3 linked regions of the Callithrix jacchus genome follow. The protein of the gene in region 2 purifies or fractionates together with the protein of the main gene of each other region. This does not show direct contact. Links are inferred from orthologs where the notes say so. Each region holds a gene or a part of one and is shown on either strand. Other genes may lie near its edges.

Region 1 (3,643 bases), on a different chromosome or scaffold from region 2:
GAATATATATCTAGTGTCAAGATCTGAGAGCAGAGGGAGTTTGCTCTGGGATCTGGAATAAGTGATGGGGAAATGTTTTTAAAAAATAAACAAATAGGCTAGGTGCAGTGGCTCACATCTGTAATCCTAGCACTTTGCAGTGCCAAGGTGGGCAGATCGCTTGAGATCAGGAGTTTGAGACTAGCCTGGGCAACATGGTGAAACCCCATTTCTCTGTAAAAACAAAACAGGCCAGGCACGCTGGCTCACACCTGTAATCCCAGCACTTTGGGAGGTCAGGGCGGGTGGATCACTTGGAGGTTAGGAGTTCAAGACCAGCCCGGGCAACATGGTGAAACCCTGTCTCTACTAAAAATGTAAAACTTAGCTGGGCATAGGGGCACATGCTTGTAATCCTAGCTACTCGAGAGGCTGAGGCACAAGAATTACTTAAACCCAGGAGGCAGAGGTTGCAGTGAACTGGGATTGTGCCACTGCACTCTAGCCTGGGCAACGAAGCAAGACTGTGTCTCAAATAAACAATTGTGGGAGGATTCCTAGGTTTACTGCACTCCAGTTTATGCTTATATAGTACTCACACTCAGATCTTAGGACCTTTCAAGGGCTGACCCACCCATTTTCTGTGTTGTTAGTTTTTAAATGATATACAGAAGTTCATAATGTTAATATAATTGGATCTATAACTTTTTTCCCTTTTATGATAACACTTTCTGTATCCTGTTTAAGAAATAGTTGTCTACTCCAAGGTCATGCAGATGTTTTTTTCTAAAAGCTTTATTGTCTTATCTTTCACTTTTATATCTGTGGTGTATTTGGTACCGCTTCACGTGTGTGTGGTGTGAGGTAGGGATTGAGGTTCATTTTTCTTCATTTGGATATCTGATTGACCCAGCATTATTTTCTAAAAGATGCCTCTCCTCATTGGACTGTGGTGCCTCCCGTATGCTTTTGACAGGGACGAAGATAATAAAGGATAGGCATAGCGTACCTTTCTCTTTGAGACACAGGGATTCTAACTCCTATTCTCAATCTTAAAAAGAAGTGTTTTTTCCTCCTCACAGTAAATGGAAATTTTAATTGTGCTTCTGTTTCCAGGATACCAAGGGTTCGAGTTCTGGAGGACGAAGAGGGGTCAAAGGACATTGAATTGTCTGATGACCCTTATGACTGCATACGACTAAGTGTCGAGAATGTTCCCTGCATTGTCACTCTGTGCAAGGTATAAGCTTGTATTTTATGGTTTTTGTCTTCCCTGTGGATGTGGGTCTCCTCTAATCGCAATCTGCTGAGATTACTTAATAGGTTGATAAATTATAATATCACACACCATATAGAAATAGCTTTAACCCAGATCCAATAATTTGCTTATATTAGAAAAACACTACCATGAGTAGCTTTTTCTTTTCTTTTTAGTTGGAAGATATGATGTGGCCTGGGAGCCAGGAGTGTGTTTGTAGTAATAGTAGCCAGAGTTTGTTAAGCTCCTTCCACATACCATGTACTTCAGTAAAGCACTGTGTCCTTTAATTGCCTCAACTCTATTGGGCTTAGGGTGGCTGAGTAGTGGCAGGGTGGCAAACAATGCCCCCTCTATGAAATGGGAGATTAGAGCAGGTCTTCGGTGTCAGGAGTGGTTTTCCTATAGAGCAGAGGGCTGTGGAGCTCAACATCTGGCTGATGTGACGTATAACTAATGCTGCCCCAGGCTGTGCAAAGAGACCTGTATTGGCTATTAACTGGGATTGTAGCTAATTCCACTCAGGATTCATTATCTTAAAATAAAGCTAAACTGGTCAGATTTAATTCCACTGAAATAACTTCATGAACAGGATGTGGTGAAGTGTTCAGACAGCAGGGTATTGGGTCTTGCCTTTTTTTTTTTTTGAGAAATAGTCTCCCTGTGACACCCAGGCTGGAGTGCAGTGGCAGAATCTAGGCTCACTGAAACCTCTGCTGCAACCCACCCCCGCCACCTGCCCAGGCCCAAGCTCAAGCAGCCCTCACACCTCAGCCTCCTGAGTAGCTTGTACCACAGGCTAACACCACCACACCTGGCTATTTTTTTTGTATTTTTGGTTGATACGGGGTCTTGCCATGTTGCCCAGGCTGGTCTCAAACTCCTGAGCTCAAGTAATCCATCTTCCTCAGCCTCCCAAAGTGCTGGGAGGCATGAACCACTGCAACCAGCCTTTGGCTTGTTCTTGAGTGTGCCCCTTAGCATGGGCCTCTTGATTCCTCCTTGCCATCAGTGAAACATCGATGTGGCATTGTGTGGAATTTGTCCCTTGTGCCCCTCTGTTGGAAAGCCTCTGTGGCCTCTGTCTTGGATGGTCTCTGAATTCTAGTTTTAAACCCCCTTGCCCTATTTTTCCGTGTCATGTTTTTATTGTATCACCCACACAGTGGCCTATGAGAATTGTTGAACATTCCTTCAACTGTTTTCCTCATGAGCAGAATCTAAAATAAGACCTGGAATGACCTATGTGAATCCTTTGCCTGGTGTAGAGATTCCCACCACGAGGCCATCAAGAGTGGGGCTCTGGAGCCTGTGTGACCCCTGTGTGCTGTGTACCCTGCCTTTGCAGATTGGCTATCGGCATGTGGTGGATGCTACCCTTCAGGAGGAGGCCTGCTCCTTGGCCAGCTTGCTGGTGTCGGTGACCAGCAAGGGAGTTGTGACGTGCTTGAGGAAAGTGGGGAAGGGCAGCCTGGACCCAGAGAGCATCTTCGAGATGATGGAGGTGAGGCCCTGGTTTTGTGGATGGTGTGGGGACCTGGCCGGGACACCTGCTGCTTCCTGCCCACTTGGTTACACCGTGGGGATTCTTCCCATTCACATCCTTGACTTCAAACCTGGAGCTTGGAGAACAGTTGGTTTGAGCCAGGGGTCTGCTGACCTAACCAGGAGGGTTGGAGGGTGGAGACTCTGGACTGGGAGGTAAGGAGCCTACTGGCAACCATTGCTTATCCTCAGTAAGTCCCCCTGCAACTCATTTCTGTGTGTCTAAATAAGACTGCTGGACTTCCATAATGGAAAGAGCCACTCGTAACTCCAAAATCACAGGCCTTAGTGACTTGTTGAAGGAATTGAATTCTTGGCTCACTGCTTCCTGTCCCTTGAAGTTGGTGAGTAAAGGTGGAAGCAGGGGTTGAAGTGTGGCTGTCTCCCAAATTCATTACAACTCTAGAAGTGTTTAAATGGAGACAAGCAGGGATGGTGAGAAATCCGACCCCCTGGAGTTGGGAGTGGGTTGTCCCCATTCCTGTCAGAGCCATGAGGGCACTTCTAAGTTCTCTGTACTGTTTTCCCCACGTCTGTCACTTCACTAGCCTGGAAGTCCTTCAGGGCAGGGACAGGGTTCTGCTCACCTGTTTTCCAGACCTTCCTTCCCCTCCATCCACCTCACCTTTCTGACTGACTGACGGAACTTCCAGGAACAGAGTGAGCTGGATTTGATTATTCATACTTTCTTGTAACCTCTATATCACCATGCATGCCCAGAGATCATTGCTTAGTAGCAAGCACTCTTCCTTCATTTTTAGATACGATGACCTCTTACTGAAGAATTCAGGAACATGACTTCTACTTTCTTTCTTTATCATGTTATTTAAAAGGGCAGAATGGGCCGGGCGCGGTGGCTCA
Region 2 (4,245 bases):
AACCCCATCTCTACTAAAAATACAAAAATTAGCTGGGTATGGTGGCATGCGCCAGTAGTCCCAGCTGCTTGGGAGGCTGAGGCAGGAGAATTGCTTGAACCCAGGAGGCGGAGGTTGCAGTGAGCCAAGATCGCGCCATTGCACTCCAGCCTGGCACCTGGTGACGGAATAAGACTGTCTCAAACAACAACAACAACAACAACAACAACAACAACAACAAAACAAAAAGATTTGTACAAAAGTCAATACATTTCTTAAAAGCTAAACTAAAAAATACCAAGTAATATTTCCCTAATCAAAATCCATTGCTTTGTTATTTCACATTTTATAGCTCTTCATACCACAGAAAATGTTTAAGGAAAAATAAATTTCAGGAAAAAATTTATCTACCTCTTTGTTTTTATTTCCTTCACAAGGTAACAAAATATAGTACTTACCACTGAAGCAACCTGTCTCCCTGTGTTTCACAAAATGCTTGGAAGCCAGGAAAACTTCGGTAAAAGTCGTATTCATCGCCAAACTGTGGTAGGCCCCCAGATGCTTTGGTGACCGCCACCACGGACCCAAGAGCAAACTGTCAAAAACCAGAAAAGATGGCATGTTTTACACATGGATTCCCATTCATTGGGTATCATTTTTTTGATCTATTGTATACAGTGCATTGCAGTAGATGTTGAAGATGTCTACTCTTCATCCATCAAAAAAAATACTCATTTAGGGCTGGGTGCACTGGCTCACGCCTATAATCCCAGTACTTTGAGAGGCCAAGGCAGGCAGATCACAAAGTCAGGGTTCGAGACCAGCCTGGCCAATATGATGAAATCCCGTCTCTACCAAAAATACAAAAAATAGCTGGGTGTGGTAGTGCACACCTGTAGTCTCAGTTACTCAGGAGGCCGAGGCAGAAGAATTGCTTGAACCTGGGAGGAGGAGGTTGCAATGTGCCAAGATAGTGCCACTTACACTCCAGCCTGGGTGATAGAGTGCAGTGGCACTATCTCAAAAAACAAACAACAGCCGGGCGCGGTGGCTCAAGCCTGTAATCCCAGCACTTTGGGAGGCCGAGGCGGGTGGATCACGAGGTCAAGAGATCGAGACCATCCAGGTCAACATGGTGAAACCCCGTCTCTACTAAAGATACAAAAGATCAGCTGGGCATGGTGGCGCGTGCCTGTAATCCCAGCTACTCAGGAGGCTGAGGCAGGAGAATTGCCTGAACCCAGGAGGCGGAGGTTGCGGTGAGCCGAGATCGCGCCATTGCACTCCAGCCTGGGAAACAAGAGCAAAACCCCGCCTCAAAAAAAAAAAAAAAAAAAAAAACAACAACAACGAAACTCATTTAGTACAAACCTCAATCTAATCTAGGCCCTGAGAATACAGAATCGTGAACAGAAACCAAGTTTGGAGCTTATATTCTTGGGAGAGTTGAGAGACAGAACAAACACACAGGTATGTAATATGATTAATACGCACAAAAACCTTGGGTTGAATCTTGACACACTGCTATGTATTAACAAACATCTGGGCAAGTGATTTCTTTTATTTGGACCTTAGTTTTCTATTCTGAAAAAAAGGGAAAAATAAAAAGGGCCTGCACCATAGTTTTTGTGAGGATTGAATGACTAAGCTAATAAAAGCACTTAGGACAGTTCTTGGCAGATAACTGCTATTATTATGACTCAAGTTCAGATCCAAGAGCTTTCTACAGGAATTTGTTTCCGTGTTTTCATTTTGATGAGCATCTTAAAACAACGCAAGCTTTTCCTAGATCCTTGGACTGTCAATTTATAATAGCTACTATCTAAAACTGGATTTGTGTTTATTGTTCAGTTAGTGTCAAGTGGTTCTCTATTTTAACTCTTGTGAGGTAATGGAAAAAACGCAAAGTGATATAGATGATGGCTGACCATGTGAAGGCCAAATGATGTCACTGTGAGTTGTGTGAATAAATATTTCCCAAGAAAAAAGCAGAGAAAGGAGGTGGGAAATTAAGCCATGGAGGCGCACATGGTAGCTTATGAGCATAAGTGCCACACAATCAGGATCACAGTTAGTGGTCCAGGAACTACTGAGAGCCAAACAAATGAATAGCATTAGCTAGTGGCAAATTAGATAGATACAACGTGAGTGGAGTTTCTGTAAATTTACAGAGCTAATTTACAAATTAGTTTCATGGCTTTGTAAGAGCTATGCACAGTTTAAACCTAGTTGTATGTTTGTTCATGTGTAAGCTAAGTTATACAAATAACTTAAGTGAACCATTCTGTGTACCTTCCAGGAGTTACTGATAAACGTGCAATGGGGCTTTAACCAGTGACATTTAACTTAGGTTTAAAAATTATGTAGGATTGCACAGCGGAACAGAGGAATGGAAGAGAGGCCATCCCGGCCGCGGGAGGGGACAACTCCGGACAAGTGTGGGGAGCGCGAAACAGCCGAGCCCCTGAGGAGAGTTGGCCGGGTGGCTCAGGAGTGGCGGGGGGGACATTGCAAGGGCTGGGGACGTCTGGGTGGCAAGGAAGCCCTTTCTAGGATGCGATACGGCTTTCCACATTTGGGCCTACGTGAACTTAAGCTGGCAAGCGGGACGTCCCTAAGCGTCCGTTTCCGAGGTCCCATCCCCGCAGGGTGCAGGTAGAGTCCGCGCTGCGGACAGTGACCCCGCGACCCCCGTCGGGGCTCTAATGCGGCGAGGTGGCATTGGATGCCCAGAGCTCTCGGGTCGGCTTCCGGCGGCCGCGGGAGACTCCTGGAACCCCCGAAGCCCCGCGAACTCACCTTCACGAAGCTGTCGGCGTCCAGGAAGCCTGGCAGCACCATTTCCCCGTCAGATCTGGTGGCGCTTGTCGCCGACAGGACCCCGGGCTCGCGGGTATTGGGCGGCGCCATTTTTCACCCCCCCTTGCACGGCTCTTCTCGCGATAGCGTCTCCGCCGACGCGACGCGACGCGTGCGCGCCTCGCGTACGCCGGGGCGGAGGGGCGGAGGGGCGGAGGGGCGGAGGGGCGGAGGGGCGGAGGGGCGGAGGGGCGGAGGGGCGGAGGGGCGGAGGGGCGGAGGGGCGGAGGGCGATTGGGGTGTCACCTCCGAGCGCTCTGTCATGAACTTCAAGTTCTTTTACCTAATGTTGTATCATCCCAACAACGCTGTGGTCTAGGGTGCGGCCTGGAGGACCTGATTATCACATATATTTTTGACACGGGGTCTCACCATGTTGCTCAATCTGGTTTTGAACTCCAAGGCTCAAGCAGTCCTCCCATCTTAGCCTGCGAAGTAGCTGGGACCACAGGCGAGGGCCACGAGCCCCGTTTATTCTCGTGTTTATTAAAAATAAATAAATAAATAAGCTGGGATTACAGAGTGTGGTGGTGTGTATCTGTAGTCCCAGCAGCTCGGGTGGCTGAGGTGGGAGGATTGCTTGAGCCCAGGAGATGGAGGCTGCAGTGAGCTATGGATTGATCCACTGCACTCCAGCCAGGGCGACATTGAGACCGTGTCGCAAAAAAATATATATTTTTTAAAGTTATGTTTTTGAGGCTGGGCGCTGTGACTCACGCCTGCAATCCCAGCACTTTGAGAGGCGGAGGCGCGCGGATCACGAGGTCAGGAGTTCCAGACCAGCCTGGCCAACATGGTGAAACCCCCATCTCTACTAAAAATACAAAAATTGGCAGGGGGTGTTGACACACGCCTATAATCCCAGCTACTCGGGAGGCTGAGGCTTGAGCCTGGGAGGCGGAGGTTACAGTGAGACGAAATGGAACCATTGCAAAACCTTGTCTCAAATAAAAATAAAAATAATTATGTTGAGAAAAAGTCTCACTCTGTTGGTCTCCCAAAGTGCTGGGATTACAGGTGTGAGCCACCAGCATGCAGCCAAATTATATTTTATTTTTTTGAGACAGAGTCTCACTCTGCTGCCCAGACTGTAATGCAGCGGTGCAATCTCAGCTCACCACAACCTCCACTTCCTGGGTTCACGTAGCTGGGATTACAGGTGTGTGCCATGATGCCTAATTTTTTTTTTTTTTTTTGTATTTTTAGTAGAAATGGGGTTTCACTATGTTGCCCAAGCTAGTCTCAAATTCCTGACCTCAAGTGATCTGTCTGCCTTGGCCTTCCAAAGTGCTGGGATTACAGGCGTGATCCACCAGTGCCCGACCTAATTTTTTTTTTTTTAGACTGCCTCTTACCAGGCTGGTCTCAAACTCGTGAAAAGCCGTCCTTCCACCTCACAAGGATTCC
Region 3 (4,307 bases), on a different chromosome or scaffold from region 2:
ACTAAAAAAATTGTTAAAGAATTTAAGTGGTTTGTACACTGTAATCTTGACGATTCTGAAAATTAATCATTTCTGTCTACTTTCCTCCTTCTTCACAATTTCTATCTCCAGACCATGTGGAGCCCGCATCCCATCTCATTTTTGCATGTGTTACTCTTTCTGCTTGAAACACTTTTCCTCTCCTCCAGATGGCATCAAAGTTGCTCCTGCTTAACATCAAAGATTTATTTTACTTAAATGTCACCTCTACAAAGTCACCTGTTCCTGCAACTACCCCTATTAAGATAGCATTCCTATTCTCAGATAGACTTACCACTGTATGAAATTGTTCTATTTGGTTTAGGGTTTTTTTGTCTCTTCCAAAAAGAATATAAATTCCTTGACAGAAGGGATCTTGTCTACCTCATTTCTCCAGCACTCAAATTATTCCTGGACACAGTAGGCCCTCTTCAAGTATTTATTGAGTACATGGTAGTACAAAGTGAGACTAAGATGTATCACTGCTAAAAAAAAAAAAAAAAAAAAAAAAAATGTGAGAAGCTACAAAGAAGCCTAAGAGCCTGCATAGGAGTTACAGTGCCTACCACCCTCTAAAGCAAAAGGAAACAAAATAATAATATGCAAACACTTAAATAGTGCTTACTCCATGCCAGGCACTGTTCTAAGCGTTATATGTATATATAAAAACTCATTTTTATCCCTCATAATACACAGGTTTCTCATTCGCATTCCCCCACTTTTTTTTTTTTTTTTTGCAGGTGAGTAATGTGAAGCACATAGGTCAACTTGCCCAGGGTTATAGTAGTTAACAATAGACTTACAATTTGAACCCTGGCAAGGAACACTTATTAAAACTATTATTTGATACTGCCTCTCCAAAAAAGCTGAGTGGTTGGCAGCATGGCCCCGCTGTTTCTCTGTGACCGTAAAAATAAGTCTATCAACTTCAAATAGCTGGGGAGCGGATAATAAACGTATACTTAGTTTCGTCCACAGTAGCAGTAACGCCATTAGTTATTACGTGCAAACGTTCTCTATTCTCGTCAGCTTTTCAGATCCCACAAGATTTCACCTTTGGCAGCAATAACATCCCGTTTCACCATGTCAACTTTCTCCACCATCCCGTATACCCCCTCATTCCAGTGCTCGTTCATTGAATCTGCTCCGAACCCTGCATCTGCGGCTTTCTAGGGGCCAATGTTAATTCATCTGTAAAATAGCAATAGTATCTGTCTAGTCTCCACCCCGAGAAAGGACTGAGCGAAAGGTGGAGTGTGAGAGCGGTCTACTGATATTAATTTCTATCACTCTGATGGTTATTGTAAGTTTCCTTTTCTCCTCCGCACTTTATGAGCAAAGAAACGAAACTTCACGTTCAAAAACAGCCACCATAAGGGGCATTGGCTTGCCCTATTCACTGTTAAGAGTCTGCGCAGTAGCGAAGGCCAGAGCCCTTGCTTTCTCATTTTCCGCCGCCGCGCTTCGATGACGTAAATTTTCTGCGCCGCGGGACCGGCAGCGGCGCTTCAGGAGTCACGTTCCGTTTCCCCCGCGGATTTTAGTGCCAGTGGGACCCGGGACCCAACACCATGAAGGAAACGCCACTTTCAAACTGCGAGCGCCGCTTCCTACTCCGTGCCATCGAAGAGAAGAAGGTATGGTTTGGTCCCTGCAGAATTGGCGCGCTGCTTGGGCGCCAAGGTGTGAACTCATAACCCGGTCCGCCTGGGCCGGGGGAGCAACTAGGGGAGCGACCGGCGGGTGCACCCCAACCCTCAGGCTTTATTATTGTTTTTTCGACAGGTTCTTTTCAAGGCTCCCAGCAGTTGTCTGTGCTGTAGTTTCCGCTTTTCTATATGGGCGGGATGGTTAGGATTTCACTTTCCTCCAAGTGCTTAGCCCAGAGCCAGAAAAAGTAATTGCTTAAGAAATACTTGTTGAAGGAATAAATGAATGAATTTGTGCTTACAGCGGCTGGATGGCAGACAAACCTATGATTATCGGAACATCAGGATCTCATTTGGAACCGATTACGGATGTTGCATTGTGGAACTTGGAAAAACAAGGTAACAGAATTTAAATAATATATACATTCAAAAGGGAGAAGTTTTTAAAAAGACATATGTTTATAAACCAGCTAAGAAGTCTGGACGGTATCCTTTGTTGAGCTGACAAAAGTAAGTATTTTTTTATGCAAGATTTTTTGGTTTTGTGGTCACTATTGAAATTTGTAATCATAAACCTATTTTCTGTCACGTATCACATAGTTCTTTCTGACTTCTATACATCGTATAGACAACCAGTAGTGACCACACTGAATTTGTTTCTCATACTAGTATAGAGATCTTGAGCATCTTGTCATTAAGTATACATCCTGCTTTCCTCTTTTTCCTGAGTGACATGAAAATTAGGTTTTCTGATATTCATTTTAAAGTTGTGAGACTATTTGGTTAGATAATAGTGGTGAACGATGCCATGTGAAAACCCTTAAGAAATCTCAAGTTTTCATGCCATCTTGTATCAATAAATACTTGCTTTAGAGGTAAAGGTCATTGATTTTTAAAACAATCTGTGGAATAGTAAACATTGTAATAAGATTTTTTTTCTGTTGTGTTTTTAGGTGTATCAATTTATGTTTTATTTCTGTGTATATTATACTTTATATATAATTATATCTCCTATGATATATTTGGCTGAGTGTGATATTACTCAGTAAGGTTGAAACCTGCTGTTTCAGATTTTTTTTTTTTGGAAGGAAGATCTATTTAGTTAATACTTTGTTCCTTTATCTTTTCAGAGTTCTTGGACAGGTTTCCTGTGAACTTGTGGCTCCAAAACTCAATAGGGCAACAGAAGGTATTCTTTTTTTTAACCTTGAACTCTCTCAGATGGCCGCTCCAGCTTTTGAACCTGGCAGGTATTTAAATCTTTTTCTTAAGCTACTTTAGTCATAGGAGGACCTCACAGTAGTGACCTTTTTTTTTTTTTTTTTTTTTGAATACCTGGTGTTGTATTTCATGACATTAGCCCCGTCCTATTTTCCTATTATAGGCAGTCAGATCTCTTGGTGAAGTTGAATCGACTCTTGGAAAGATGTCTAAGAAATTCGAAGTGTATAGACACTGAATCTCTCTGTGTTGTTGCTGGCGAAAAGGTGGGGAATATGCCCAAATTTCTTTTTTTTTTTTAACCCCAAATCACATGGAATGGAGAATATGCCCAAAATTCTTAATCTTAGGATAAATATTGTTGATTCACGGATCCCAGTGTCTGTTTTTATTCTCAGAACTTTCGTTAACTCAGTTTTGTACTGGTTCACTTCACTTCAGATGTGATACCCTTAGAACTTTGTGCCATCTCTCTCTCTCTGAAGGGACAAAAAGCTTTATCTTTAAAGGGTAAAAATAGTAACTTAGATTTGTGTGTAAAATATTTTATTTAAAGAACTTGTGGCTTTTTCATATAATCTCTCATGTATTTTCTTATGTTACCTACATGAGTTCATAGAAGCAGGTAGTTTTCTTTTTTCATGCAGAACTCAAGAACAGATGAAATCACTCATTTTGATAGGTTTATCGATTTACACAGGGCCACATCATGTCAGTAGCAGGGATAACTTTGGAAATCTTAGTCCCAGTAAATTGTGCTGCATTCGGATATTAGAATTGTATTATTATTATTATTATTTTGAGACAGAGTCTCCCTCTGTTGCCCAGGCTGGACTGCAGTGGTGCAATCTCAGCTCACTGCAACCTCTGCCTCCCCTGTTCAAGCCTTCCGAGCAGCTGGAACTACAGGCACCTGCCACCACGTTCAGCTAATTTTTGTATTTTTAATGGAGACAGGGTTTCACCATGTTGGTCAGGCTGGTCTTGAACTCCAGACCTCAAGTGATCCACCTGCCTCAGCCTCCCAAAATGCTGAGATTACAGGGATGAGCCACTGTACCTGGCCAGAATTTGATTCTTGATTAAGGTATTTTGACAAGCTTTTTACTCCACAGAAATCATTTAGCTTTCCATATTCCATACCTAAGTATAATACTTCCTATTTGCATTACTTGTACCCTTATTAAAAATATCACAAAACCTAAAAGTTTAACTTTTAAAAATTTTTTATTTATTATTTTCTCTTAGGGATAGGGTGACACTCTTTTCCAGGCAGGAGTGCAGTGGTGTCATCATATCTCAATGTAACCTTAAACTCCTGGGCTCAAGGGATCCTCTTGCCTTAGCCTCCCAAATAGCTAGGACTACAGTGCATGCCATTTCACCTGGCTAATTAAAAAACATTTTTTTCTTTTTGTG

Evidence for each region.
Region 1: the proteins of EXOSC10 (region 2) and EXOSC7 purify together in Homo sapiens (affinity purification with mass spectrometry; 6 studies listed by BioGRID and IntAct, counting the BioPlex papers as one, with this or other methods). This does not show direct contact. The link is inferred for Callithrix jacchus from reciprocal best matches to the Homo sapiens genes EXOSC10 and EXOSC7.
Region 3: the proteins of EXOSC10 (region 2) and EXOSC9 purify together in Homo sapiens (co-immunoprecipitation; 7 studies listed by BioGRID and IntAct, with this or other methods). This does not show direct contact. The link is inferred for Callithrix jacchus from reciprocal best matches to the Homo sapiens genes EXOSC10 and EXOSC9.

Annotation. Positions count from the first base shown.
Region 1 is NC_133516.1:27,748,731-27,752,373, forward strand, and holds part of EXOSC7 (exosome complex component RRP42), read left to right. Parts: intron 1-1,095; coding exon 1,096-1,219; intron 1,220-2,585; coding exon 2,586-2,741; intron 2,742-3,330; coding exon of another isoform or gene 3,331-3,423; exon of another isoform or gene 3,424-3,442; intron 3,443-3,643. UniProt on the Homo sapiens protein: Non-catalytic component of the RNA exosome complex which has 3'->5' exoribonuclease activity and participates in a multitude of cellular RNA processing and degradation events.
Region 2 is NC_133508.1:48,971,006-48,975,250, forward strand, and holds the start of EXOSC10 (exosome complex component 10), read right to left. Parts: upstream 2,933-4,245; 5' UTR 2,890-2,932; coding exon 2,779-2,889; intron 575-2,778; coding exon 438-574; intron 1-437. UniProt on the Homo sapiens protein: Catalytic component of the RNA exosome complex which has 3'->5' exoribonuclease activity and participates in a multitude of cellular RNA processing and degradation events.
Region 3 is NC_133504.1:75,883,704-75,888,010, reverse strand, and holds the start of EXOSC9 (exosome complex component RRP45), read left to right. Parts: upstream 1-1,490; 5' UTR 1,491-1,589; coding exon 1,590-1,655; intron 1,656-1,971; coding exon 1,972-2,066; intron 2,067-2,797; coding exon 2,798-2,917; intron 2,918-3,051; coding exon 3,052-3,154; intron 3,155-4,307. UniProt on the Homo sapiens protein: Non-catalytic component of the RNA exosome complex which has 3'->5' exoribonuclease activity and participates in a multitude of cellular RNA processing and degradation events.